Ovis aries: one gene and its partners. The protein of the gene in region 1 purifies or fractionates together with the protein of each later gene. This does not show direct contact. Links are inferred from orthologs where the notes say so. Each region holds a gene or a part of one and is shown on either strand. Other genes may lie near its edges.

What was found.
Region 2: the proteins of SMAD2 (region 1) and SMARCA4 purify together in Homo sapiens (affinity purification with mass spectrometry; 3 studies listed by BioGRID, with this or other methods). This does not show direct contact. The link is inferred for Ovis aries from reciprocal best matches to the Homo sapiens genes SMAD2 and SMARCA4.
Region 3: the proteins of SMAD2 (region 1) and SMARCC2 purify together in Homo sapiens (affinity purification with mass spectrometry; 3 studies listed by BioGRID, with this or other methods). This does not show direct contact. The link is inferred for Ovis aries from reciprocal best matches to the Homo sapiens genes SMAD2 and SMARCC2.
Region 4: the proteins of SMAD2 (region 1) and SKIL purify together in Homo sapiens (affinity purification with western blotting; 8 studies listed by BioGRID and IntAct, with this or other methods). This does not show direct contact. The link is inferred for Ovis aries from reciprocal best matches to the Homo sapiens genes SMAD2 and SKIL.
Region 5: the proteins of SMAD2 (region 1) and TGFBR1 purify together in Homo sapiens (affinity purification with western blotting; 8 studies listed by BioGRID and IntAct, with this or other methods). This does not show direct contact. The link is inferred for Ovis aries from reciprocal best matches to the Homo sapiens genes SMAD2 and TGFBR1.
Region 6: the proteins of SMAD2 (region 1) and KAT2B purify together in Homo sapiens (affinity purification with western blotting, with the first as the bait; 3 studies listed by BioGRID). This does not show direct contact. The link is inferred for Ovis aries from reciprocal best matches to the Homo sapiens genes SMAD2 and KAT2B.
Region 7: the proteins of SMAD2 (region 1) and SMARCC1 purify together in Homo sapiens (affinity purification with mass spectrometry; 3 studies listed by BioGRID, with this or other methods). This does not show direct contact. The link is inferred for Ovis aries from reciprocal best matches to the Homo sapiens genes SMAD2 and SMARCC1.

Annotation. Positions count from the first base shown.
Region 1 is NC_056076.1:47,913,389-47,917,793, forward strand, and holds the start of SMAD2 (mothers against decapentaplegic homolog 2), read right to left. Parts: upstream 3,050-4,405; 5' UTR 2,947-3,049; intron 2,651-2,946; exon of another isoform or gene 2,511-2,650; intron 1-2,510. UniProt on the Homo sapiens protein: Receptor-regulated SMAD (R-SMAD) that is an intracellular signal transducer and transcriptional modulator activated by TGF-beta (transforming growth factor) and activin type 1 receptor kinases.
Region 2 is NC_056058.1:13,255,504-13,260,028, reverse strand, and holds the start of SMARCA4 (transcription activator BRG1), read right to left. Parts: upstream 3,191-4,525; 5' UTR 2,902-3,190; exon of another isoform or gene 2,830-2,901; intron 2,760-2,829; exon of another isoform or gene 2,705-2,759; intron 1-2,704. UniProt on the Homo sapiens protein: ATPase involved in transcriptional activation and repression of select genes by chromatin remodeling (alteration of DNA-nucleosome topology).
Region 3 is NC_056056.1:163,371,856-163,375,768, reverse strand, and holds part of SMARCC2 (SWI/SNF complex subunit SMARCC2), read right to left. Parts: intron 3,732-3,913; coding exon 3,473-3,731; intron 3,235-3,472; coding exon 3,073-3,234; intron 2,805-3,072; coding exon 2,740-2,804; intron 2,510-2,739; coding exon 2,374-2,509; intron 2,300-2,373; coding exon 2,133-2,299; intron 1,478-2,132; coding exon 1,343-1,477; intron 334-1,342; coding exon 1-333. UniProt on the Homo sapiens protein: Involved in transcriptional activation and repression of select genes by chromatin remodeling (alteration of DNA-nucleosome topology).
Region 4 is NC_056054.1:217,718,208-217,722,120, forward strand, and holds part of SKIL (ski-like protein), read right to left. Parts: intron 1,799-3,913; coding exon 1,557-1,798; intron 1,268-1,556; coding exon 1,043-1,267; intron 375-1,042; coding exon 216-374; 3' UTR 1-215. UniProt on the Homo sapiens protein: May have regulatory role in cell division or differentiation in response to extracellular signals.
Region 5 is NC_056055.1:48,774,152-48,778,836, reverse strand, and holds the start of TGFBR1 (TGF-beta receptor type-1), read left to right. Parts: upstream 1-1,564; 5' UTR 1,565-1,651; coding exon 1,652-1,736; intron 1,737-4,685. UniProt on the Homo sapiens protein: Transmembrane serine/threonine kinase forming with the TGF-beta type II serine/threonine kinase receptor, TGFBR2, the non-promiscuous receptor for the TGF-beta cytokines TGFB1, TGFB2 and TGFB3.
Region 6 is NC_056054.1:278,383,331-278,386,431, forward strand, and holds the end of KAT2B (histone acetyltransferase KAT2B), read left to right. Parts: exon of another isoform or gene 1-315; coding exon 316-509; 3' UTR 510-917; coding exon of another isoform or gene 918-969; 3' UTR 970-2,356; downstream 2,357-3,101. UniProt on the Homo sapiens protein: Functions as a histone acetyltransferase (HAT) to promote transcriptional activation. Has significant histone acetyltransferase activity with core histones (H3 and H4), and also with nucleosome core particles.
Region 7 is NC_056072.1:52,034,015-52,037,927, reverse strand, and holds part of SMARCC1 (SWI/SNF complex subunit SMARCC1), read right to left. Parts: intron 566-3,913; coding exon 307-565; intron 1-306. UniProt on the Homo sapiens protein: Involved in transcriptional activation and repression of select genes by chromatin remodeling (alteration of DNA-nucleosome topology).

The DNA of each region.
Region 1 (4,405 bases):
TGACACACAGCAAAACATCATTTTACTGTTTAATAAATGAGTAAATGTTACCTGTTCAATAAATATAAGTTACTTGTTGAATAAATGCATAACCTTGCCTGGACTGGTTTTGAAATCTTTTTAGTTCACATTTTCTTGACATACCTTTGTGATACTTAGTGGAAAACATCTACAGATAAAAATGGCTCCTCTACTCCCATCAAAAGACATGCCCCTCTCCAGCCTCTAAAAATGACTCTTGTCCCAAGAATATGAATAAGGCTCCATCTGCCAGACTGCACTAAATACAGATTTTATATGCATTACAGAAACACCTGTATAAAAAAGCTGCTACAAAAAACGAGGCCTCAGAAGTCCTAAAGTACAAAACCAAACAAGAATAAGGAGTGCTTTCGGACCTTTAAAAAAGCCACAGTTGAAAATATCTGCAAAATAACTTCTTTGCAGGTCTTTGATCAGGTTATGCAGCTGAACTCTTCTGTCACTCAGATTTTCCCTCAATGTGAAGTAACAAGATTTCAGCAACACGTTTGAGGTATTTACAGTATGAAAATGAAAAGGGGACCTTTTGCCATCTTGAAGTAGAAACCACCTTTGTTCTTACTAAAGAGAATTTCTGCTGAAATATACAAAACTATCCCCAAATTCCTACTTAAGAGTTAAAGCACATACCAAGCCTGACAAGCCACAAACAACAGGAAATTACTCTGCACAGTTTCTTGCAAACTATTATTTCATGAACCTTACAGATGTGTGTGCAGAGATTTGACCATTTATGACTAGATACAGGTAAGTTACAACTTTAAAAAGCCAAACTTTGCTGAACACTTAGAATGTGAAATCACTAGAAGGTATAGCTACAAAGTATAAAAACCAAGTTCTAACAGCACTTTCATACTAAAAAAAAAAAAGCCCAGAATGGATGTTTCCGAACACCTTACATTAATTAAAATAGACCAATGAACTACTTCAAACTCAACTTTAACATTAAGGGTTTAAGTGGGCACTCATCTTAGAAATGCCAATAGATTTGAACTGTTCTTATTTACTACAACAACTAATTTTACAGCAGAAAAAAAACTTAAGAAACTTTAAAAATAAAATCAGTGTTGGTCTCTGACTTTGATATAAATGTTTGCTAAATGAACTTCTGGTGGAGAAAATTCTATCAATATCTTGTATGGTACTTTTTTTTAAGGCAAATAAAAAAACATCTTCAAACTATGACACATTTATGAGGCCCACTTTACATTATTTCTTTCATCTCTAGAATATTTGCTTCATTTACTTGTTCACAACTTCCCAAATTTAACTATTTACCTTACACACCCCCTAACCCTAACTTTTTTAAGGGATCAAAACTAGAACAGCTAATGTATTATCAAAATAATAGAGTGTATTATCTATTTGTCTCAAGGAAAGCACCCTTACAATCAGTGGTGAAGGTTCAATTCATATGAAACCAGAAGATGGAATTTTTGAAAAGATGCAATTACTCCAAGCAAGTTCGCGAGATCATTTATTTATTCACAACAAATTTAGCTGTGTCGTGCTAAAACACCACAATTTAGGAAACCCCAAACTGTAACAAACATGACAAGACTGATGGAAAAATGCTACCTCATTTTCGTTTTACCTGGAAACGTCTCTTTTTAAATAAAGGGTTAGTTGACAACAAACCGGCAGTATTTAGCTTTTTTAAGGGTCAAGAGGAAGGAATAACAAAACCAACCTAACTACTGTTTTTTTCTTTTGTTCAGGATCAAAAGGAAACCATTAACCACGAAAGGATTAAGTAAGTAGAAAACAAAAGTACTCAATCTAAGGGCAGTATTCCCCAGGAGAGAAGAAAACAATTAAAGCTGCAGGATTTGAAAACCAAGTTTGAAATACGTTGAAATCAATTAGCTTGCTCTCTAAAGGCGTGTGATTAAAAAAAAAAAACTAAAACTAATAGGCTCCGCTCACAAGAGCAACTTTCACAAGCTAGTGGAGAAGTTATGTGGACGGAGTACCAGCAGTGTGCGTGTTTGTGTGAGAGCACACGCTCGCGATTCTGAACCCCGAGACCAGAATGGTTAACAAAGGTTACAGCACCAGGGAAGTGGGGGGGGGGGGAGTGGAAGCAAAGTCTCGCATGCTCCTAACTCGGGCTTCCCAACAAGTCCCCGAAACCAGAGCCTCGTCCCTGCGGGATTTGAAAATCACCACCACAAACTACCGAGGGTGACCGCCACGGAGGAGGAGGGGACGGGCCGGGCCACACAGCCGGCCCCCGCCCCGGGCCGCGCGCGCGGGCGGGCGGGCGAGCGGGCGGGTGGCTCCCAGCGCCGACCCCCGTCCCCCCGGCCGCCCCGCCCCGCACTCCCGCACCCCGCGAGCCGCCAGGCGCCTCGCCACACCCCGGCCCCTCGGCCCGGCCAGGTGACGCGGCCGGCCCGCCTCACCGACCCCGAGCCCCACAGAGACACACCCCGGCCCCGAGGCCCCGCCGGGCGCCGCGGCGTTACCTGGACCGAGGCTCCGGGTCCCGCCCCGTCAAGAGTCCGGGGGGGTCCGGGACCTTTGTTCCTTCCTCTTCCGAAAGGGATGGAGGGGCCGGGAGGGGAGAGGGGAATGGGCCGACTGGAGGCGGAACTGAAAACACTCTGGCGGCCGCCCCGCCCCCCCAGCCGGAGCCCGGCCGGCGGCCCCGGCGCGCGGGGAGGGGACGGGAGAGGGGGCGGCGCGGGCCCGGCCGCCGCCCGCGGGGAGGAGGGGATGGGGACGCGCGTCCCGCCGCCGCCACCGCCGCCCCTCCTCCCCTCGGGCGCGCGCCCGCCCGCCTCGCCCCCACCCGGGCGGCCCCCGACGGCCGAGCCGTCCTCCCCCGCCGCGCCCGCCGGCCCCACCTCCGCTTCCGCCCTGCGCCCTTCGCCGCCGGCCGCAGCGGCGCGGCGCACCCACCTCCGGGCGGCTCGCTCGGCGCTCGCTGGCTGGTGGCTGGGAGCTGCTCCTCCGCCGCCGCCGCCGCCGCCGCCGCCGCGGCCGCGCGGTAGCCCCGCCTCCCACCCCGGGCCGCGAGCCCCGCCGATTCGCCGGCGCAGCCCCGGGGGGCTGGCACCCTGCCGCCCGCTGATTGGCGCCCCCGGACGCCCGTTAGGGGCGCGAGGTACGCTGGCCGAGCGCGCGGCCTTGGGGGCGCGCGCGGAAGACCCGGGCAGCGAAGAAAGAGAAGGGGTTAGGCCCGAGCGCCCGTGTTAGGGCCAGGGCGCGAGCTGTGGGCTCTGAGAGGCGCGGGCCGCTACCTCTCCCCACCTCCTTTCCCTCCGGCCTCCCCGCCCTCCCGGCCGGACCGGCGGCGCACGCAGCCAATCAGCGCGCTGGCTGCTCGGGGTGTGAGCCGCGCGTCGGGGGCCTCGAATCGGAAGGGAGACGTCGCTCTCTGATTGGTCCCGCCTCCCCCGTAGAGCGTGAGGCGAGGCGCGGCCGGGCGGGCGGCGGAGGACTTAGGCGGGGTGGGATGCCCGCGGTTTCGGTTGGCTTCTTCTCTGGCGCGCTCGCACGGGAAACTCTGGGAAAGGGAGTGGGGGGCGGGGAGGGGAGGCGCGTAACCTGCCGTGAGGGCGACCACCTTTCCGTCCTGATCGCGGCTGGTCCTCCGTCCCCGTCTCTGGCCGGCACCACTGGGTGGGGCCTGTCGGAAGCCGCCGCCCGGCCCACCTTCTCTGTAGTCAAGCCTGGAGTGGAGGCGTGCTTATCCTCGGGGTGGGAGGCCCCGACGGTGGGCGAGCTAAGGGGCCGAAGAGGGGTGTGCCAAAGCCTGCGTCCTGGACCCACGCGTGGGGCACCCTGTGCGAATGAGTGGGCGCGGCCCTCGTGGTGGTAAACGGGGGCGGGGTCCGAGATGTAAATAAGCCCGGGGCCGAGCTCTTTGCTTGGGCTGTAGGGTCTGGTGGGGAGGCGGGGGCGGGGGGGGGGGGGGTGGTCACAGGTATTTTTGTTGAACGGAAACTTGGTCCTGTCTTCGTGAAAAAATGGTGCTCGTTTTGCGTGTTCTGAATGCTCCTTGTGAAGTCTAGAACGCAAGTGCCTGGCACGATATCCCACAATTGCTGAGTTATTTGCCCCGTTCTTCATTTCTGCACTGCTCAGGCGCTGTTCTTAGACCCCATCCTCGCACGTCTGCACTGCAAAGCCTCTAAGCTGCTAGAAACTTTGGTCGCCTTTTCCTTGCAGACCCCGAGCCTCTGCCTGAAATCTTGAACCCAGCCAGTCATATTAAGCGATTATCAAGCATGTACGATGTTAGGCAGAGAACACCATAGAACTTCAAGTTGAGAAGAAATTCGGGTCTCACATAGGTCGTTGGTGGCAGAGATTAGACCTGTAACATGGTTTTCTTGGTTCTTGTCTGGCACTCACA
Region 2 (4,525 bases), on another chromosome or scaffold:
CCACTTCCCGCACAACTCCAGGGGGCGCCATGGGCGTTGTGCTCTGTCTAGGGTCAATCTGAATGCCCTCCGAGCCACGGCAGCCCTGATGAGCCGGCCAAAACCAGTCGCCATGTCTGAGGACTCACCCCATGTCTTGGAGGCACCAAAAGGGAAACTGGCCAACCCAGGAGTCAGACTTGGATGTTCAACCCCAGAGGCCCTGGTGAAATATGCCTGGACCTCAGTTTCTTCACTGGCAGAACGTTCTCAAGGGATATTCACCCAATACACAGAGTCCCTCCCACTCTCCCACATCAGATAAACAGTGGGGACGGAGAGCTGGTCTACGGTTACCTCCCAATGTTTTGAGGACCCACAAGAGAGGCAAAGGTGTATAAATAAATTATGTGTTTTAAAAAAATAAATACGTGTTTATGTTGGAGTGCTTTTCACTGACAGGAAGTCTGGAACCACTGCACTGCCCTGCACCAAAGCTATGATGAGGTCACCCCACGATGAACACCCCCCCAAAAAACACCTGCAAAATCAACATCTCCTGAAGGGCTGGCGTGTGCGCTCAATCACGTCCGACTCTGTGACCCCATGGACTATAGCCCACCAGGCTCCTCTGTCAATGGGATTCTCCAAGCAAGAACACTGGAGTGGGCTGCCAAGCCCTCCTCCAGGTCCCGAATCCATGTCTCCTAGGTCTCTTGCATTGGCAGGGGGATTCTTTACCACTGCGCCACCTGGGAAGCCCCCTGAAGGGTTGGGCACAAATGATTTCAAGTGGCATGAGGAGGAACACTTATTATTTTCATAATCGTATATGTATTGAGTTTAAAGAAAATTAGGAAAATGTATATAACCAGCACATCAAACCTGGGGTTTCTGGGATACAGAATGACTCATGTTTTCAGTTTTCTGAACAGTTAATTTACAAATACATACGTATGAACAAAACCACCTCCGAAAAATTGAGAGCTCATTACATGCCAGACTCTAGAGAGTGTTAAACCACTTCCCATACTATCTTTCCAACCCTCACAACAATTCTTTGAGCTGGCACCACTGTCTTATCTGTTTCTCAAGTTGGGGGACCTACTGGTAAGTGTCCTGCTTGAGGTCAAACTAGAATTTAGAGCTGACTGTGAATCCAGGAGGTCTAATTCCAGAACTAGCACTCCATAACACCACCTCCTATTAACTACTACCCCACACCCTTACTGTTGAGGGAATGAGGTTTGGGGAAAATGGCCTGGAAAGCTTTAGAAAAAAATTAAAAAAGAAAGCAAAACACAGCGCCAGCAACTAATATTTATTGTCTGCAACTCGCCCTCAAGTCCTGGGCCAAGCACTTCACACACAGGGCTACTCAATCCTCAAGAGTACCCTCCTCCTTCATCCACAAATGTTCCCTAAGGGCCTACTACACACTGGGCCAGGGTACACTAAAAGAGATTACACAGACAGCTCTGATGGCCCTTGGAGAAGAGATGTGTAATTACAAACAGGAGTAACTCCTAACACAAGAAAGGATCAAGATGACCATGTGCAAAAGCAGCAGAGGGGAGCAATGACTGGTCCCAAGTGGTCCAACACAACCTGGGGGTCCTCCCTAACCCTGAGTAAAAGCCCCCTCTTCCATGCAGCTACCTGATCTCTGGTTCCCACCACTGGCACCAATCTGCTGTGCTCCTCACACATGACAGGCCTCTAGTTGTTCCCACACTTACCACCTGTTCCCCTACAAGACTGAACAGGCTGCTCTGGGCACCCAACCTCCAACTACCAAACACCCAGCTGGGGCTCAACAAGTATGTGTTGAACAAGAATGGAAGAGACTGGACTGAACAACAACGATAGTGCTTCCCTCTTGACAGGAACCATTTTACAGGCTTTCACCGGCTCCATCTGTGCCATTATTCTCATTTCACATATGAGGACACTGAGAAGTTCCAAAAGATTAAGCTATTTGCCTCCTGTCACACAGCGAAGTGACCAGCAACAGCCAGGAGTCAAACTTGAATCAGGCCTGTCATTTAAAAGTGAAAACTTGTTTCAAATTCTTAGGAAGTGGCTCTCACTGCTTATTCCCTACTTTCCCCAATGATTCACTAGGGGGGGAAAATATCAAGACTAGTGTCTTCAAGACCTTCACAAAATACCTTCTCCTGAAAGATTCGCGTTTTAAATAAAAACCTTAATCTGGAAAATCGATTGGCAGAAAGGGGTAAGGACGCAAAACTAAAACAATGCTTTTAACGGCAAACAGTTCTCTCCGTCCTTCCCCACTGCTGCCGACCCCCGGCTTCAGGGCAAACGTTCTCAAGTCACTACTTGCAAGGGGTTAGCAGAGTTATTTACCTTTCCTTGAAAATCTAAAACGACGTGACTTTTAAAAAAATAACCATTCAGGTCGGCTAACCCAGGGGGGCTGCTAATGTTCGTGTCCGGGCGACGCTGGACACACCTGGGGTTTTTCCTACTGAGCTCCGACTGCAGGCTCGCCAAAAGGCAACATTCGAGTCGGACCCGTTAGAACGTAACCAGAAAAGCCCGGACGTCTGGCTATTGTTGCAGCCCCGGCGGACACCGGGATGTGGGCCCCTGGACCGCCGACGGGGCAACGCGCTTTGTCCAGCGACCCCGGCGAGAGCGCGCGCGGGGGGCGCGCGGCCTCCACGCGGCCCTGGCCCCCACCCCGCCGTCCCGCGGATACTGTAGTCGCCGAGGCCTCGCTGCCTGTGGCCTTCCCCGCGCGCGCGGTGCCGGTCAGGCTTCTTGACCCTCGGGCGCCGCCGTACCCCGGCCCGGCTCCGGGCGCCGGCGGCCCCCTCCCCCCTCGGCGCCCCGGCTCCATTCAAACCGTCCTCCCAAGCCCCGCGCCGCGCTCCCCCCGCGACCCACGTTCCTTACCGGGAGTCGCCGGCGCCGTCGCCTTCCCGGCGCCGCCCCCGCCCCTCCACGCGGGGCCGGGGGCAGAATGGGCTTCTCGCTTCTCCTCACGAAACAAAGAAGCAGCCGCCGCAGCCGCCGAGCGAGGGTAAGCCTCGCGCGCGCGCCCGCCTGCCTCAGCCGCCCCCCCACGCTGCCCGCGCCCCCGCTGCGCGCGCACTCGCCACCTCCCCTCCCCCCACCACGAACTCCCACTCGCTTCCGCTGCTGGCCCGTCCTCGTGCGCGTGCCCGCCCGCCCTTCCGCTCCTAGGGCGCGTGCGCGTCTCGCCGGGGTTGTCTGGGAGAGGTGGGTGGGGCCAGAGAGAGCTAGAGCGCCCGACGCGCCTCCCGACTCTGTGTGGGACGGTCATGCGCCTGCGCGCGGTGGTCTCCGTTCCCGCACGCCGCGCGTCTCAAAGCCGCCGAGCATGCGCAGAGCAGGCGGCACTGCGGCGGTGGTGGAGGTGGAGGTGGCAGCGGGAGGTTGGGGGATGGGGTGGGTGGTGGAGAGGTCTGCGGGGAAAGCGTGGCCGAGGGCCCCTGAGACTCAGAAGTGAGGCTTCCAAGGTCGTGCATGAAGGCAGGAGGCGGACAGGCTGGGGCCGGGGATGAGCAGAGCCGGCCCCTGGGCCAAGTGCAGGTCGATGTTCGGATGATGGCGGTGCCCGTTCGGCAAAGCCTGTTACGCAAAGACCGTGGCTATCTTTTCCGCACAACTTACCTAGGGCTATTAGTTTAGCAGATAATCTATTGACCTGCCCCACACTGAGGTACTGTAGTACCGAAGAGAAATCTCAGCCTCTGTGGCGCTCATGGTTTAGTGGGAGAGGCAGGCGCGAGGCAAGAAAACTTAAGTAAAATACACTGTGTTGAAATGGACACGTGAAGGGTCGGGGAAGTTTTAAATGGGGCAGCTAGGGAAAGCCTCTCTGCGAAGACATTTGAGTCAAGACATAAAAGCAGTGAGAGAGAGAGAGCTTTGTTCCAAGTGTGAAGGCCCAGAGACTAGGAGGCTTCATCTCTTAAATTTTGAGAGTATCTCTTGAGTCTGTATTCGTTGTTTCTAGCCCCACAACTGGACAAACGGTTCCCAGGGCCAAGTCCTGGAGCCTGTGACTCCCTACCCCTGCTTCTCTCAGGCCTTCCCCCTCATTTTTCAGGTCTCAGCTGACTCATCACCTCCCCTGGCCTTGCCCCCTCTTTGATCACCACCTCCTTTTCTTTCACATTTCTTGGGTAACCCCTTTAGTATCTGTCTCCCTAACCTCAATTTAAGTGGCGCAGTGTTGTCAATTTTAGTCCCTAGTGAAGAATACCCAATATCTAGTGTGGGGCCACCCTCTGCAACACACTAGACACCTTAAAAATATTCTTTTTTAATTGAAAATATATTAGCTTCTATGGAGTGTGTATCACCAGCACTTTGGGCCTTTCCAAGCCCAAGGTGAGGCCCTTAGAGCATAAAGCAGCAGCTAATATCTTGGCCTGAAGCCAAAAAGACCTGCGTTGAAAACCTGACTCTCCTTAGTACCTGGGGGATGCCAGGCAAGTTTACAGAAGTTTACACTTCTGTTTCTTCACCTGTAAAGTGAAAACAGTGACAC
Region 3 (3,913 bases), on another chromosome or scaffold:
GGCTCCAGCTGGTGGCTGCTGCTGTGGCCCCACAGTTGACCCTGCCTGCCCAAGCTGTTCGGAGGGCCCCAAGCTTCCAGGAGGGGCCCCACTGCCCGCAGGAGCCGGGGCCACAGAGGCTGGAGCCATGGCCAAGCCGTGGACAGTGGGTGGCCCAGCAGCACCTGGCGGTGGGATAGGCTGGGAGCCTGGGGGCAGGGCTGGCGGTGGCTGCTGCTGCTGTTGGTGCATCTGCTGGAAGTGCTGCTGCCGGGCCCGCATCTCTGCGTACTTCAGCTGCTCCATGTGGAAGGCTTGCCTGTCGGCCAAGAGCTGCTGCCTCTGGTACTCCAGCTGCCCGGGCCGACGGAGAGCTGTCACCCGGGGGCTGGAGACCCCAAAGGCACACACCTTGCCCCCTGCTTTGTCTTCTGACAAGCCCAGCCTCCCATTCTGGCGATCCCCACACCAAACCTCAGCCTTGTGCTTGGCTTCCGCTGTTCTCGCCTCCCCTCCCCTCTCCAGTTCCCCCCACCAGGTCTTCTGGCTGCCCACATGGCTTCTCACTGCAGTGGACAAGTGGACTTAATCTGGTGGTAGCCTTTGTTCATTTTCAGCTCCAAAGCTTTGAATTTGTCATTACTTTCATCTGGAAACCAACCCCTACCCCACCAACCAACCAAGTTCCTCTAGTCAAATCATGTTCTTTCCCTCCTTCAAAACTGAAGAAAAACTCACAATTCTTAGGAAGCCCTCCCAGATCACCTCACTAGCCTCTGAACTTTGGCCTTTATTCTGCTCTCACTCAGGATTTTTATGCTTGATTGGAAATCTCTCAATTTTCATTTGTCAGATGCTTGAAGCATTAGCCAACTTTGACGTCTCCATATTGGATATCTGATATCTTCAATTGAGGAGTTCAGGATCAGAGTCCTTATCTTCTACTTTTATATCTTCTAAGAATCAAAATGAGTCGACACCATGTCCATCCTGTTCCCTTTCCAACTTTAACCCCTGGCTCTGAAGCCCTTACCCTCTCATCATGCCTTAAACCTGTTTAATCACTCAACAATCACTCCACAGCCAAGTCTACCGTGGACTAAGCACCCTTTAAGGACCTGGAGATGTGGCAAACTTGACCCTGGGGCTGACATTCTGTGGGACCTCAGTCTCCAGGCTGTACCTGTGGGTCACTTGTCCCTAACCGCCCAGGCTGGCTCCTCCTGCCCTGGTCTGGGCTGGTCTGCTCTGCTGTGATACTGTCAGCCTCAGGTTCTCTGTATTGCTGCTCTCCTTGCCCTAAACTGCGGCCCAGCCCACTGCCAAGGTGGGGCCCCGCCAACCGCCAGGGGACTCGACTCACTGCTTCTCGCTCCCGGTCCATGATCGTCTCTAGCTCCTCAAAGTGCCGGAGTTTGATTTCCAACTTTTTCATCTGGGTCTCTACCAGCAGGGCCACCAGAGATTTGATCTTCCTCTCCTCAACGGCAGCCAAGTGCTAAGGAAGGAAGGGTGGGGTGGCCATCAGTGCGAGGACCCAGCTGAAGACACTGGGCAACAGAGAAGGGTGGTGTGGGGGCTGACAGGCTTTAAGACAGAACTTGCTGTGGTCACAACCCAGAGAGTAGCGCAGGCTTGAGTGGTGTTTTTAAAAGAACATGAAAAAAGAGAGGATATCAAAGGATAAGGAAAGGTCAAATAATTGAGAGGGTGGAAACAGGCCCAATCAGGACTTCCCTGGTGGTCTGGTGGTTAAGAATCCACCTTCCAGCGCAGAGGAAGTGGGTTCGATCCCTGGTCAGGGAATTAAGATCCCGTAGGCCGTGGGGCAACTAAGCCCACGTGCCCCAACTGCCATAACCAGAGCCCGTGAGCTGCAATTACTGAAGCCCTCTCGCTCTGGAGCCTGCGCTCTGCAACGAGAGAAGCCCACATGCTGCAACGGAGACCCAGTGCAGCCAAATAAATAAATAAACTGCGAGACAGGCCTAATGATAAAGGCTTAAAAGAGGTAAGAGGTGACCAAGCGTTCCTCTCAGGATCCAAAGGGGACAGGAGACAGGCCAGCACTGGGTAAGGATGACAAGGCAGGCTTCCCTCCAGGTACCGTGCGATGAGGAGCAGCACCTCCTTCCCTGGGGCTGAGGCCTTACCTTGGCCTTCACGGCGGCAGCAGCCAGGGCGGCGGCGGCGGCGGTGGAGAGGTTGCCCTCGCCAATGTCGCGCTCCACCTTCGTCTTCCTCTCCCCCTCTGACTCCACCACTTCGTTCAGCACCTCCTCCTGCCCTTCCTTGGGCTCCTTCTCCTTCTCAGGATCCGCTGGGCCAGGAAAAGGGTCGTGAGCCCTAGAGCCTGGCTTCCTTTCTGAACCCCAACCACCACGTGAGGCTCACCTGTCGGGTCTCCGTCACTCTTTTCTGACTCCTTCTCGCTGTCGCCATCTTTCCCTTTCTCATCGTCCTTCTTGGGTGCCTCACTGGTCTTCTCCTTTGCTTCTTCCTCCACAGTCCCAACTCCTTCTCGAGGTTCCTGGAGTCCCAGGGAAAGGAAAAAGGGGAGTGTCAGGGTGCTGGTTCGCACACAGCGGGCCCAGACCAGGAGCTGAGTTTACACCTCTTATCTGGGAGAGGGCCTGGATCCAGGCTGCGAGCCCCATCCAAGCCCAGCCCTCGCCTGCCCAAGCTCAGTGGAGCCGGCTCCCCTTCCCTGGTCCACGCTGGACCCCTTTGCCTTCCCAGCCCGTGTCAATCCCGCTGTACCTTGGGTTCCTTCTTATCCTCTGTGGCCTGGCCCTCCGCCCGTGCCTCATCAGTCCCGCTCTCCTCTGGGTCCAGGGGAAGAGGAAACAGGAGATGTCTGACAGTTGGTCTACAACACTCTTCCAACTGCCCCTTCTAGCCAAGATCTTACTGAGAGGACCAGTGGGGAGCCACGGTACCTAAAGTAAAGCCCTGAGGAAAATGAACACCCCACCAACTCACCCCATCCGTCTCATGCTCTGAGGTCAGGTGGAGGCAGGGATGGTATGGGGAGGCCAGGCGGCTGAGGCTGCTGGTAAAAAGGGAGGAATTGGGGAACACGGCAAGCCTTACCGATCCTCTCCGGCTCATCGGAGGTGGTCCCTGCGATGCCACTGCTTTCCAGACCAAAGGCTGGGTCTGCCTTGCCTGTCACTTTGGCGGCTTCTTCCACTTTCCTAACGTGGGCCTCCACCAAAGCTGTGGGTACCTCTTCCTTCATTTTGGAGAACTCTTCTGTAAGACCCAGAGAGGGGGAGGCTGGGAGCAGGCAGGTAGGCAGTTCTGGCACTCTCTGTGAGAGCTCCCTCACAAACCCAGCTCTTCATCTCTGCCTGCGTGGAGCTGGACCGTTGCCTGGGCTGATGCCAGCCGCAGACAAGGCCAGTAGGGCAGTGAACTTGAGGGGGTTCCACAGTCAGAGTACCCAGCCTTTCAAATGCAAACCAAGAGGGATGGGAGCCCTGCGCGTTACCTAGGGCTGACTTCGCAGCAGCTGAGGCCACTCGAGGGTCGACGACAGAGGCCAAGAAGGCAACGGTGCTCATCACGGGGTTGCCTGACTGGCTGAAGGGGATGGGCTGGTAGGCCAGGGGGCCCAGGGAGGCCTCTGAGTCCTCCAGGTACGGGTCTTCGATGGGAAGCCGGAGAAAATGCAAGATGCATTCATCCTGTGTGCGGCTTCCCACGTGCTCTGACACTTTGTTCCAGTCATCTTTGTACATTTCCAGTGCCTGGTGGTGGTGGTGGAGACACAACCTCACTTACTCCAGTAGCCACCTCCCTCAAAGGTCAGCGTCCTCAACCCCGCTAAGCAGAGCTGCTTCAGAGCTCTCTGGGTTGTGATATTTATATACTCTGCCAGGCCCAAGGGGAATCTCCAAGTAGCACTTGGTAAGGACAGGGGACTGACAAA
Region 4 (3,913 bases), on another chromosome or scaffold:
AAAGGAAAAGTACAAAGAAACATACATTTTCATTCATTTGGAAAATGTAAAAATTTATATACTAATATATAATCTCTTCACTTTCTCTGATCTACAAATGGATAGAATGCCGTTATTTCATGCAGATAAATTGTTCAGAATCCATTTACCAAAGTAAACAAACAAATAAAAATAAACCCTGTTGGGAACACACAGATGGATTTCTTTGAAGGTTTCTATTCTTTAGCAGTCTTTGATGATTTCAAAATTTGCAGCTTTAGCTCTTTTATCATCTTCTCTAACTTCTGCCTTGCCTCCCGTTCCTGTCTGAGTTCGTCTTGGAGTTCTTGCCTATCAGCCTCAGCATGGTCCAGTCTCTGTCTCAGCTCTGCCAGCTGTGTGATTTAGAAGACTGTGTCAGTTTTCCATTCAGTTTTGGTTTTCCATTACTTCTCACATCATGGCAAAGACCTACTTGCAAATCATTTTTGCAAAAATGAACTATTTCATGCATATTATAATCTCTTGAATATCCAATACTATTAATCTGACTTTGAAATGACCTTAAAATGAGGGCAAAACAAAGGGTCAGGGAACTGAACACTTAGAACACTTTCATTATGCCTTATACTCTGGTATACCTGTTACCACAGCATGATCAGATTAGGAGTTATTTGTTCATCTTTCCCAAGTTGTGAGCTACTATCCACTTTTGCCCCAAGGCTTATGAACATAGTAGGCAACAGTTTATGTTTGTTAAGCCATTGATTTGAAAGCCCATGTATTACATTAAAATAACATTGATACTCAGATAGCTAGAGATTAGCAATTAGGACAACTAAACTATAGAAATCCAATAAAAATTTAAAGTAATGCAACAACTAAGATCCAAACAATCATCTTGAATGATACAGCATAAAATTGTGTTTAACAGAATTATCTATTTTGAAGTCTAGCCTAAATGAAACAAGTTAACAAAAAGTAATTTCTTTAATGAAATTAAAGTAACAGCTTCAATTTCCACATTGAAAAGGCAACACTATACAAACTGTGTAATTCTTACCTGTGCTGCATATTCAGCCTCTTTATCTTTTTCTAAATTTGAGTCACAGGTACATTTTTGCTTCATTACCTGCTCTAGTTTTTTCTCTAAGTCTTTCTGTTCAACATGAAATTCTTCCATTCTTTGAGCATGTTCATTCTGCAAAGATTCAAGCTCTTTCTGTAAATTCTGCTGTTCTTCAGTAAGTTCCTTCATAGCTTTTGAACTACTCAACATTTCAACTTCCTGTAATTTAAAGAGTCACAATATAATTTTTACTTTATTTCTATCACATTAAACCTTTCAATTCAGAAAAAAACAGGACAGAAAGTATCTATTACAAAACTGAGGTGTCATATCAATTCTATACATAAGTAGCTATCTTAAAAACTATTTTCTCTAAAAATTTAAAAGTATATTAATATTTCTTGTAAGTATAAAACTGAACAATATTAAAACATTTACAGCATCTTATCTTGAAGAATATGCTAAAGTATTTTTTCACAATGGACTATCATTTAAATAACAGTTTTACCATCTGAAGTTGTTGCTTCTTCTGTAAAACTGAGTTCAGTTTTTCCTGTTGTTTTACGTAAGTTCTCACTACTTCTTCCATGATTTTTCCCTTATCGTCCTCACAAGTGACATCTTTGACAAGAAATGGAGATGAAGCTGCAACATCACAGTCAGTTCCTGATTTGCTTGTGTCTCTGGCTAAGCTGCAAGTGGCAGCCTCAGGTTTCTTTTTGCTGGTAGAATTATTCGAGACTGATGGATCTTCAAAGGCAAAAAAGAAGTAACAAAGTATAAATACCACTCTGTCAAAAGTCACTAGAATGATCCATAAATGAAATTAAGAAAACAATTTCATTTATAACCAAATAAAAAAATAAAGATACTTAGGAATAAACTTAACAAAAGTAGTATAAAACTTATACAACAGAAACTATAAAATATCATTGAAAGAAATAAAAGACCTAAATAAATGGAAAGGAATCCTATGTTCATGGACTGGAAGACTTAATATCATTAAGATGTATCATGATCTCCAAAATTCCTATGCTGAAATCCTAACCCCCAAAGTGATGGTATTAGGAAATGAAACCTTTAGGAGATAATTAGCTCATAAGGGTAGAGACCCCTTGATGGGATTTATGCGCTTATAAAAGAGACTCCAGAGAGCTCTCCCACAATTTGGGTACATAATGAAAAGACAGCCATCTATGAACCAGGAGGCAAACCCTTGCTAGACCAAATCCACTAGGGCCTTGATCTTAAGACTTCCCAGCCTCTAAAACAGTGAAAGGGTAAGTGTCTATAGAATAAGCCACCCAGTCGTGTTATTTTTGTTATAAATGGTAGTCTCAAACTGATCTACTTTTTCAATGCAGACCCTATCAAAATTTCACCTGGCTATGTGGCAGAATTTGGCAAACTGATCCTAAAACTCACATGGAAATAAAAGGAAACCAAGATAGCCAAAGTAATCTTGAAAAAGAAAAACAAAGTTGGAGGACTCACAATCTCCAATAGCAAAGCTTGTTATGAAGCTACAGAAATCAAAACCGTGTGTGGTACGGACATAAAGAGTGAATCCAGAAATAAACATATACTTTTACAGGCAACTGGTTTTTAACAAGGGGGCCTAAACAATTCAAAGAGTAACAGTAGCTTTTTCAACCATGTTGGGACAACTGTATCTATATACGATTGAGGTTGAACTTCATATCTTATATAAAAATTAATTAAAAATATATGATTGAGATTGAACTTTACATCTTATATAAAAATTAATTAAAAATGGATCACAGACTTAAACTTAAGAGCTAAAATTCTTAACTGGATTAAGCAATCGTTTCTTAGACATGACACCTAAAGTAAGCAATCAAAGTAGCAACAAACTGGACTTCATCTGAATTTAAAACTTCTGTGTTTCAAAGGACACTACCAAGAAAGTGAAGACAACAGACACAATGGCAAATCCTCTATCTGGTAAGGCTCTAGTACCCAGAATGTACACGTAACTCTTACAACTCAGTAATAAAGAGACAACCCAATTTAAAAATAGGCGAAGGATCTCAACAGGTACTTCTCCAAAAATTTGCAATGCAGACTTCCCTGGTGGTCCAGTGGCTAAGACTCTGCACTCCTAATGCAGGGGACCTGGATTCAATCGCTGGTCAGAGGACTAGAGTCCACATGCTGCAACTGAGAATGCGCATGCAACTAAAGATCCTACCTATGTGCCGCAACTAAGACCTGGCACAGCCAAATAAGTAAAACAAATATTAAAAAGGAGAGAGAGATTTGCAGTGTCCAAAAAAACCATGAAAAGATATTCAGTACCATCAGTCAACTTGGAGAACTGCAAATCAAAACTATGAGATATCACTTTACAACCACGAGGATGGCTCTCCTCAAAAGACAAACAACGACAACTGTTGGCAAAGATGTGCAGGAACTGGAAACCTCAGAGACCGTTGCTAGAAATGAAAATGGTATGGTTGCTTTGAAAAACAGTTTGGCAGTCCCTCAAGATATTAAACATAGAGTTACCATATGACCCATCAATTACACTCCTAAATATATAGCCAAGAGAAATAAATACATATGTTCATATTAAAACTTGTGCTTAAGTGTTCATAACAGCATTAGTCGTAACAGCCAAATGTGGACATATCCAAATGTCCATCAGCTGATGAATGGATAAACAAAACAGGGTCTTATCCATCCACACAACAGAAAGTTACTAAGCCATAAACAGGGAAGAAGTGCTAATACATGCTATAACATCTACTGAGAAAACATCCTTAGTGCAAGAAGCCAGGCAACAGAAGGCCACATGCTGTACAATCATTTTATATGAAATGCCTAGAACAGGCAAATCCATAA
Region 5 (4,685 bases), on another chromosome or scaffold:
GGGGTCCAGAGAGAAAGTCTATCAGCAGAATTTCAGAGGGAAGAAGGGGAGCCCCCAAGTCTTAACATAGTCTCTTCACTAAAACTTGGGGGATAGATATTATTTCCATTTTATAGATGACGAAATGGAGGCTCAGAAAGGTTAACTGGCTTGCTCAAAAAGGTGTTCAAGCCAGAAGGGGAATAGTGCCCATCTCAGATCTCAGTTCCAACACCCGCGCCCTGCCCCTTTACTGCTCAGGAGGGAGGTCTTCACAGGCTTGTAAAATGCTCACCCCGGTAGCCCTAAACCAATTTACAAATCGATAGTAGAGGCTGGTTCTGATTCCTGCTACCAAGGCTTTATTTAATTTCAAGTTCGAATCACACAGAAAATAAAATTTTCTCCCTGAAAGGTCCTGTGGAAAAATGTTCTGTTCTATGTAACAGCCTCCTCGGCTGTGTTTGTGTCTGAAGAGAGGACTAGTCTGACAGGAAGAATTACAAATCTGGAGCTCATTTTGGCGTCCCAGAGGAAAGGTGGGTGGAGCGTCTCACAGTAAATTAGGAATTCAGAATGAAAACGTAGCTGAGTTTATTTAGGTTTCTAGTGACACCTCAGAATTATTGTGCAGGCGTGTCAGAGGCAGCTCAAAGTAATGACTGCTCCTCCTCCGCTCCCGGGGTGCTGCCTGCTAAGAAGGGGGAATCCCTCTCCTTGGGGGATGGGGGTGGGAACCTTCCCTTTCTCACCTGGATCAGGAAGGGAGAAGGGGAAAGGAGTGTGGTTTGGAGTCCTGTCTGGCTCAGCTCTGAATTCCGGAGAGAGGCGGGAGTCAATTCGGGGGTGTGTCTGAGCTCGGGATCTGTGTCTGAGGGGGATCTGAGGCCAGGATTTGGAGACTTTCTTTAGTTGTGTGTTTTTTTTTTTTTTTTTGCGGGGTGAGGGTAATCTAGGTTTGGGGTGGACAATGACAGTGGGAGGAAACAGGAGATTGGGTCGTATCTGAAAAGCACTGAGGTAGGATCTTGGGGTGGGGGGATGGTGTTGAAAGTTGAGGCGTGGATCTGGAAAGGGGAAGTTGAAGCCTGCCCGACGATACTAAGGATCTGGGTGAATGTGTGGGGGATTGACGGTGCAGGACTGTGAATCGGGGTCAGGCTCAGTACCAGATCTTAAATGAGAAGAAAAAAGGCTAGAAGAATAGAGCTTTGAGCTGCCACAGCCTTTTTCCGAAACCAACTCACACCCAGACACACCCATCGTCTAGCCCTCGCCCTCTGTGGCTGGAGGTAAGGCTGTGCCAGCCTCGCTAGACCCTGCCCCCACCCGGCCTTCTAGCTCCCAGCGGCTCCGACTGGGGCAGGGGTCTGTCTCTTCGACCCCGGGGGAGTCTGGGGGCGTGGCCAGCAGCCCGGCGCCTGCGGCTCCGGATTGGCTTCCCAGCGGGCACGTGGGCGGGGTTTCGGCTTGGGTCCGGCTCTGCAGTTCGCAGACGGCACGGAGGCGGGGCCGGCGGGAGCCCTGCAGCCAATGGACTGGCAGCCCCCGAGCAGTTACAAAGGGCCGAAGCAAGGCCGCCGCCGCGGCAGGGGAGGTGGGGCGAGGCGAGGCTTGTTGAGGCAAGGCGGCGGCCGGGCCGGGCCGGGCCACAGGCAGTGGCAGCGGGACTATGGAGGCAGTGGCCGCTACTCCGCGTCCCCGGCTGCTCCTCCTCATGCTGGCGGCGGCGGCCACGCTGGTCCCGGAGGCAACGGGTGAGTAGTGGCGCGGCAGGGCTGGCGGGAAGCTTCGGGGTGCGCGGGCCGGGCCCGGCCTCTGGCTCACTCCTTCTCTTTCTCAAACATGGCGCGGGGCCGGGGGCGCAGGTGGCGGCACCCGGGCCGGGCTTTCCTGGTCTGGCCGCCGCCTCGCGAGTCGCGGGCGGGCAGCGGAGGCGGGGCAGAGGCGTGGGTCTGAGCGCGGGTGAACGTGCCCGGCAGCCCGCAGCCGCCGCGGCTGCTGGCTCTTCACGGGGAGGTGGCGTCGGGCGAAGCCGTCCGGGGTCCTGGGCTGCCCTCTGGGGAGCGAGTGGGCGCGGGCCGAGGGGCGGAGGGTGTGAGACTGGCCGAGACCGGCAGAGCTGGGGCTGCTCCCCGGTTCCCGCGAGGCGCTGCGTGGCGTTGTCCCAGGCACCGCACCCTGATCGAGTTGGTCCTCCAGGCATCGGGGGCCCTGGCGGGGTTAGGGGGTCGGAGGAAGCTTCCAGGGCGGGGTGTGCGCTCTGAGCCTCCAGGCCTCCCCCAGCAATGGGAGGGGATGTGTGTGGCAGAGACCCTTGGGGTCAGCGAGGCCTGCCTGGCCTTTGACATCGGCTTGACCCGGCCGAGTGGGGCTGCTTCTCCAGCCGGGGGTGGCTTTGGAAGAGGAGCTGCTGCGAAGCTTTGTGTGAGGACAAGGAGGCACTAAGATGTGTGGAATGTTTCTTTCGTGCGTCTGGGGAACGCAGAAGTGAAATCCACTCACCAGAAGGCTGCGGATTGTTTTGGTAGTAGAAACTTGAACGTTTGCTCACTCTGCGGGGTTTGGAATGTTTGAATGGAAGTGACTCTGAATTGATCAAACGATTTTATTTCCTCGAAGGAACATCGATAGAGAGGTTCCATCTCTTGAGTGACAGTAGTTTGAATCGGTCGTCTGTGAGGCTGGTTTCGAGGGACAGTGTTATGTTTTCCAAAATATTAAATCAGGATGGGGTATGTGGTCATCACCTACCCAATGGAAGGGGGAGTGAAAAGCTTTGTTAGCATTCAAACTGTACTACTAAAAACTGAGATGTAGAGCCTTAGTGAAAGCAACTAAAATAAAGTGAATACATTTTTATTTCTCTAATTGAACACAGTGTTTTAAAAACATTTCAAGACTTAGGGTGCCAGTTATTATTAATAGCTATTGTCTATTAAGAGCTTATTATGATACAGAGGCATAAAGTACACCAAAGTACATTATCTGATCCTCACAACTAAACCCTGAGGGCTGGTGGCGTTTGCCCCATTTTACAGAAGAGAAAACAGGTGTGAAGAGGATAAGTACTCAGTTGCTAAAAGCTGGATTTAAGATTTGCAGCAAAGGTTTCAGGGGTTCCAAAACCTATACACTTTAATATATATACCTGTCTGGCATTGCCCATATTCGTTTTTAGATTTTTGTCCTCAAAATTAGAAAACCAATTTGGCTTCTTTCTGACTCCAAGTACTTTTTTTTTTTTTTGGCCACACTGCATGGCATGCAGGATCTTAGTTCCCCCTGCAGTAGAAGCGTGGAGTCCTAACCACTGGACTGCCAGGAAATTCCCTTCGAGTACATTCTTATAGTCCCTTCAGGCTAGGCCTACCTTTGAGGAAACAGATTTTTGACATTGCCTGAGAAGGGGGGCAAGATAGATAGGTGGATAGGTAGGAGAATCAGTATAATTATGCATCAAGTAACATTTCCACACCACTAATTAACTCAGATAGCATAGTTCTATCTTTTCCACGTAGCTTAGCACAGAATGTGTTCATGTATTCAAATAACAGAATTGAGCTTACTATATACACAAAGCATTGCCCAGTTCATGCCCTGGAGGAGCTTACAGACTACTCTGGCATGCATTCAATACAAAGCTGATCCAGGCACTATTATCCTTAAGTCTCAACTGGTCTGCCTGCTCTCCTAGGTGACGTTGATGTTTCCATTCATCCTTTCATACCTTCTGAAGATGCTCAAATGCTCTTTAAAATTTATAAATTGAGGGACTTCCCTGGTGGTCCAGTGGCTGGGACTCCGAGCTCCCAATGCAGGGGCCTGGGGTTTGATCCCTGGTCAGGGAGCTAGATCCCACAAGATGCAGCTAAGACCCAGTGCAGCCAAATAAATACACTCCTTTTTTTTTTTTTTTTTTTAATAATTTGACCTTCATTTTTAAGAGTCTGCATTTGTTCCTTATTGTCTGAGTATCAGTTTTATATTTTTCTGCCCACCTTCTGCTCTGTCCAACATAGATTTCTTTGGGGAGATTGGTCCCTTGTCCTTGGTACACAGTTTAGTACCATTATGTTTACATAGATTTCCCATGCTTTAGCTTCCTGTCATTTTGTAACTTTTTCTTCGAAAACATGCCCAAGCCCAACTATTCTTTACATTAATGCCTCTTGAATGTATCTTCCTTTCTTCACATGCAGCTGTCAGGTTTAGTCCTGCCTATTATCCCTCAAATGCGTTTGCTTTCCAGAGTTTCTCTCACCTAGGCTTTTCTGTAGGCTGCTGCCAAGCTAACCTTCTTCAACCATCCCCACAAGGGGTTTCCAAGATTTCCCATGTGTATTCAGTGCTTAGAGCAGTACCTGAGGCTTATGATTAGGGCCATTTCTGTATCCAGCTAGAGATCTCTCATCCTGCTACTGCAAACCCTCGATTCCAGTATTTTGTGTTTTCCCACCCACTCCTGACTTTTGTGAGTGTGAGAAGTTTTTAGTCCTGACTTCCTATACTGTTTTAGTTTGTGAACTATTTGCCTGAACTGCATGGAACTTACACTTTGTGTTTTCTGTTTCTACCACCTTACACCTTAAATATTCTCTTGAACATGTTATAAGTACCCAGAGGGCAAGGGTCATGCATTTAATTTCCTTTTGGTATTAGAACCTAGCACTATGTTTTATATTCTGTTCCATTTAAGTACTTGT
Region 6 (3,101 bases), on another chromosome or scaffold:
AGTAGCTCACAGTACTTAGTTTATCGTACTTGTCACTGCTAATCTACTTAGCTTCCTTGCACTGAATAGGGATCGAACCAGATGACTACGAATGGTCCTTCCGTGCTAAAACACTGATTTTGCACAGGATACTCTCACAAAAGAAAGGACACAAGCCTCAAGAACTGTTTTCCTTGATCACGTGAATCTCTCTCAGACAAACCGTTGAGGTGGTGGAGATGTGGGCAGACTGGTGATACATTTCTTTCCCAGTCTCACGTGTCAGCGAGTGTTTGAAAGGAGCCAAAAATTGCTGATATTTTTTTTCCTGTGTAGATCTGAAAACCATGAGTGAGCGCCTCAAGAATAGGTACTACGTGTCTAAGAAGCTGTTCATGGCAGACTTGCAGCGAGTCTTTACTAATTGCAAGGAGTACAACCCCCCTGAAAGCGAGTACTACAGGTGCGCCAATGTCCTGGAGAAATTCTTCTTCAGTAAGATCAAGGAAGCTGGGCTAATTGACAAGTGACACTTCTTTCCTCTGCTTCTTAGAAACTCACCAAACAGTGTGCCTAAAGCATGGTTTAGTTTTACAAAGAGTTGGACGTAATGTATTGAAGATACTTGTAACAATTAGCACTTTTGAAAAACAAAAAACCTCTTAGCTTTTCAGATATGTATTTAAATTGAAGTCATAGAGCATTTCTATTTTACGGAATAGATTCTAGTCTATTTACTACTATCAATGTCAGTTTCCTACGGCATGTCCATTAGCTGAGTGTTCAGTGCTAGACGATCAGGGGGTTCCTCACAGCTTGTATATGAGGACGTTGCACACAGTACCAAGATCTGGGGGAATGCAGAAAATTTTGAGACCGTGAATGTTTCCTTTTTTTGCTAATGGAATGTGAGAGTTTACTTTTATTTTATTCTGAAGGACTTTAAAGGAAGGGATACGTGATAAAAAGCCCATAGAAGGTGAAGCGTGATGTGTGAAGGCTCATGGTGGACTTTATATACATATTTTTAAACACTCATCTAGACGAGGTGCTTTGAGCAGTTCTGAAAATGCGGTTCCAGAGAAGCAGCTCCTTTGGTTTCTAAAGAAGAAATTCTAAATAATGCAGACTTCTTTATAAGCGTCTGGGTTTTTGATAATTCTGTCTACCTGCAACAAACTTGTGAGTGCATGACCACTATCTTAATAATTATTTTCTCTACACGAGTCTGTAATACTATATTTGACTTTGCTTATGCAGGCCATAAGTTCTAAAAGGCAATTTCTTGGGCCACAAAGGCATCCATTTGAAAACACTTGAGATTGAATTAACATGCTTTAATTTAAAAAGATGTATAATCTATATCATGGATCAAATTTAGTGAATCCTCCACTTTTTTTTACAAATAAGATTTTTTCCCCCCTTTTCTACAATACACTCAGCCCAACTGATAATGTATTTATGGACACTTGTCCTTTGGCGTCTCCAGACTATATTCATTTTGGAGATGAATTCAGTTACCGCCAAGACCTTCTGTCAGTATTTCAATGCCTGCTTTGGTACAGGGTAATAATATCCCACTAAAATCCATCATACAGCCTTGTTAACCTGTCTTGGGATGCCGGCTTCATGCTGGGATTTATTTCCTAATTAACACTACACTGAGAAGTGGGACATCGCAACCCCAGCTCTGGGGGAACCAACTCATACAAAGCAAACAGTGGCCATCTTGATGGTCTCGACACTAATTTTTATGATACAAATTTATAAACTGATTTTTGTAAAAGGACTAGGTTTTAAAGGTGTCTCTAACTCAGTGTTTTCTATCAGCATAAACTAATCGAAATGATCATTTGATAGACATTGGACACAGTTGCCAGCGAATCTGCGTGAAGGGGAAAGCCTGCAGATGGCCATGCAGTTGGAAGGACGGTTTCAATGTGTAAGGGACACTCAGAATGCTCACAGCTGAGAAATGCCTCAACTTTTTAAAGAGACCACCTTGAGTGGCGTCTAGATTGCTAATGAAGAATGATACAGTTTGGATCAAGTATCTCGGACTGGTTTTAAACAAGTGCTTTGTCCTGGATCTGCTGAAGCACCTGGCCAGCTTGGTATCCTGTGAAACGTTTGTTATTTTCTGGGTAGACATTCTTATAGAGTATTGTCTTTAAAATCAGATTGTCTCTTCTATATTGAAAGCATTTCTATGTTTTCTAATTTAAAAATTAATATTTTCTTATAGATATTGTGCAATAAAGCTGAAGTAGGATGTGTGGTTTTTGCAAATGCTTTAACAGCGGATAAAATTTTACATTTGTAAAATTAATATATTGTATTGGTACCAAATAGTTTTAAATTATATTTTAAAAAGCTCTGTCTGCTGGTATGTTTTCTTCTGATGGATTTGTGTTTAACGGGGCAGATGTATGACCTGGTTGATGACTGACGCCGTCCTTCGTGCTTAGGATGTAAGTATTTGGAGGGGGGCGTTCAGAATTGTTGCATTTGTAGAAGTTTCGTAAAAATTCACAGCCCATTACTGGGAGCTTTTCAAGAGGAGAGACACTGTGTCTCTTGAGTAATCCACGGCATCTTGCTGGTTGTCACTTACCAAAAAAGAAAAGTCCAGCTAAAGAAGTGGTCTTGGTTTTAGAAGCAGCCACCTCATGGCCCAGTTTTTCCTGCTTTGCATCTGTGAGATAGATGAATCAGGAGACACCCCTCCCCCCAAAAAAATACAACTGATTTTTAGACACCTCCGATACATTTCTAATGTTATTCACAGTGCTGAAAAAACTATATCCTCCTGGGGTGTGAGTATCCACCACAGAGCATCATTCTTCCTTTCTGAATTCTGAGCCAGCTCAGCAGTCGAAGGAATGAGGCAGGCAACAGCCAGAATGTCTTTATTAGAACTAGAACGCGTATCGGAGAGGGTGACGTATGTATCGGAGAGGGTGACTTCCGCATCTGCAGGAGATGGGCTAATACTGAACCTCGGGCCGTGGCTGACTCACCAGCGGCTCCGCTCCCCGTCCTGTCCCCCGCGGGGCAGGGCCTTTCCCCTTGAGCCCTGTGCTTGGCCCAGGCAGCGATGCCCTCCACAGCAGGCCCGCTCT
Region 7 (3,913 bases), on another chromosome or scaffold:
ATGCAATCCAAGAATGTTAAATAGCTCTTTTTACCAATTGTATAAAAATCCATATGAATCACAAAATACCATTAAAAACCACTGTTTTGTCCCTCTAAATTCTTAAAAAATGCTCATAGTTTGAAAAATGTTGTATGTTAACTGCTTTATTTAGCAAACATAACCTACTATCCTTAAGGGGTAATACATAAAACTGCAATGAGTGTAACAGCTGATAACACCTAAATCTGAGATAAACTATCATGAAAGCATGAAACCATGCTCTGAAATGGTTACACTCGCGAGACAGCTTAAGAAAGTCCATACCCAAAGCTGCTTTGGCTGCAGCAGATGCCACACGAGGATCCACCACAGATGCCAAAAAAGCAACAGTGCTCATGACTGGGTTTCCCGACTGACTGAAGGGGACAGGCTGGTAGGCCAGGGGCCCCAGGGAAGCATCAGAATTCTCAAGGTATGGGTCCTCAATGGGAAGCCTCAAGAAGTGAAGGATGCATTCATCCTGAGTGCGACTTCCAACGTGCTCTGACACTTTGTTCCAATCATCTTTATACATCTCCAGAGCCTGTGATGGAAAAAACAGGAGCTTTAATTATCAGGTAACAAGGAAGTAATACTTAATGACATCAGAAACCTGCGACTGTTCTTTAGATGGGCTTTAAATTAAAAACAGTAATGAAAATAGTTATACTGTTCACAGCAGGTAGATCTGATTGCTTTCCTTATTATGTTAAATTCTCAGTCAAGAAAAACAAATAAAAGGCGTGTATATATATATTTTCTCTTTTGAGATTTATTTTATTTTTTTATTTTCTTTTTTAATTTTTATTTTTACTTTATTTTACTTTACAATACTGTATTGGTTTTGCCATACACTGACATGAATCCACCACGGGTGTACATGCGTTCCCAAACATGAACCCCCCTCCCACCTCCCTCCCCATAACATCTCTCTAGGTCATCACCGTGCACCAGCCCCAAGCATGCTGTATCCTGCGTCGGACATAGACTGGCGATTCGATTCTTACATGATAGTATACATGTTACAATGTAAAAGGCGTGTATATTACAAAGAATTATGGTGCTGGAGAAGACTCCTCAGAGTCCCTTGGACTGCACAGAGATCAAACCAGTCAATCCTAAAGGAAATGAACCCTGAATATCCACTGGACAGACAGAAGCTGAAGCTCCAATACTCTGGCCACCTGATATGACAGCCGACTCACTGGAAAAGATCCTGATGCTGGGAAAGACTGAGAGCAGGAGAAGGGGATGACAAACGATGAGATGGTTAGCTGGCATTACCAACTCAAAGGACATGTTTGAGCAAAATCCAGGAGAGACTGTCTTGATACTTTCCAGCATAACCTTTTCAGATGAGCTTACTTTTAAGCTTTTTCCTTTGTTCATTTTCCTTTAGCCAGAGAAAAGTAAAGCAAGTTCAGGAAGTTTTTTTCTCAGAATAAAGCAAAGGAATTGACATGCAGAATTCAAGCCACCGTCAGCATCCAGAAAAGCACAAGGCTGAGAAGCAGTGAAGTTCTGAGCCTGAGCACCAACAGAAGCATTACATAGGAGAGGCAGAATGAAGAGAGGTTTTCAAAACAACATGGCGACAGGCCTCCACGAAGGAAAAGGGTGACATACAGAAAAAAAGTCATCAGCAGACATTTACACTACGCAACACCTCCTCCTGCCATCACTGGGGTCTTCACCACTGCTTACCTGGATTCTTAGACTTGCCTGTCTCTACCCTTCAATCCATCCTTCTTCCTGTTGCTGGACGTGTGACACAGGAGACTGTCGCTTGCCTGCCTAAAACTATTTCAGTTCTCATCATTATGTTATGGAATTAAGGTCAAACACGACAGGGATCTGCTAATTCTTCCACTTCACCATCATTCTTTACTGTTCCGGGAATACCCAGATCCCACATCCTAAGTATTGTGTGTATGCACAGTTTGTTCTGTACTAGAAATATCATGGACCAGAACCAATACTAGCACCCTACTCCAGGAAGCTGTCCATTATATCTTATCTACCCAGGCCAGCTACAGAGCCACTCCTCTGTACGTGTCTCGTCATACCTCTAATCGTGTTTCAATCAGTTTCTATCATAGTAGACTATTACTGAACTCAATTACTGTAGACACTATATCTCAATCTGTCTGCCACAGTGCCTGAAACACAGTACCAAATAAAATGTGCTGAATTTAATCACAGGTAGCCAAACTAAATTAGGAAAGGAATCTCACTTTCCATGACTCCAAGCATTAAAAGAAAAATGAAAAAATCTGGGGAATTCCCTGGCAGTACAGTGGTTAGGACTCTACTGAGAGGGGCAAAGGTGCAATCCCTGGTCGGTAAGATCCTGAAAGCTGAGGAGTGTAGACGAAAACACCCCATAATTTTTTAAAAGGCCTTTCTTCAGGACAACTGGAAGCTGAAGTGTAATATAAAATTACACAGGAAGATACCTGGTTAAGTAGCCTATGTGATATGCATGTCTGATAAAATGGTCTGATTTGGGGGAGGGAGAATGGACAATAATATACTCTAACGAGTCTTCCAGATGTGTTTGTCGGTGAAATTGATGAAGTTTTTGGTTATAAATCGATTAAAAAATTTTCCTCTGACTTCATGTTCTTAAGCTATTAATTATCGATAAATAAACGATAAAAACAGAAGGTGTGAATAGTCAACAATGCTGTTGGGAAGACTTTTATATTCCTCTGGGTAAGTGCAGACATCTGTTGGTTCAACAGCATGTTTAAAAGGAAAATCAACCGGTTGCAAAGCCTCCAGCTGCAGGAGAGAAAACACTATTGTGTGGAGATCTGTGGCTTTGTGGGATATGTTGAGGGTAAACAGGAGCTCAGCCATTCTGACCTCACTCTTTATTTACTATCCACTAATCTTAACCAGTCAATCTTACGGGAAATCAACCCTGAATACTCATTGGAAGGACTGATGCTGAAGTTGAAGCTCCAGTACTTTGGTCATCTGATGCGAACAGCCGACTCAATGGAAAAGTCCCCGATACAGGGACAGATTCAGGGCAGGAGGAGAAGAGGGCACCAGAGGTCCAGATGGCTGGATGGTATTACCGATGCGATGGACATGAACTTGGGCAAACTCCAGGAGATAGTGAGAGGTCTGGTGTGCTGCAGCCCATGGGGTTGCAAAGAGTTGGACACAAAGAAGAAAACTCCTGAGTATTAATGTACAGCAAGGAAAAGAACCGATAGGAGAATGCTGTTTCAGGCAGTACTGCACAATTGCCTCTCTTCCCAGAGCCCACAGATTCTATATGAGCAATACAAAAGCATTTCCCATACATTTCCCCACAAGGACTGAGAACGGTAAAATCAATACCCACAAGCAGATATGACTAGACAAGACAGCCCTGAATTAAAGAAAAAGGAGTTCAGGAAAGAAGCTCTCTGCATACCAATGACACTGAAAGGACAGACAAGAACAAATGAAAATAGTGGTAAAAACGCAAAAGGAACCAATCTTTTTGAATATAGACAGACACAGAGAAAAAGAGACTGAGAAGAGAGAATAAGGAAAGTAGAAGAGGCTGGTAAAATGAAAACAGAAAAGTTAATACACCATTAAAATTTTTCATGAACCATGACTGTTGGAACAATTCACAAAATCAAATTAGAGCAAAACAGATACGTGCGACACCCTAGGCCCAAAGGATCCCTAAGTGTGGTCTGGAAACTCACAGAGCACCAGACCCCTTCACAGAAACTGAGAGATCAAAATAATAACACTGGGACATTACTGTCTTACTTGTTATGTTGACATGTGCACAACGGTACAAAAGCAACGGGGGGGAAACCACTGGCCCCTTAGTGTCAATCAAGGAAGTAGCACCAGATGTCTTAAGGGTCGTTTAAGTCCT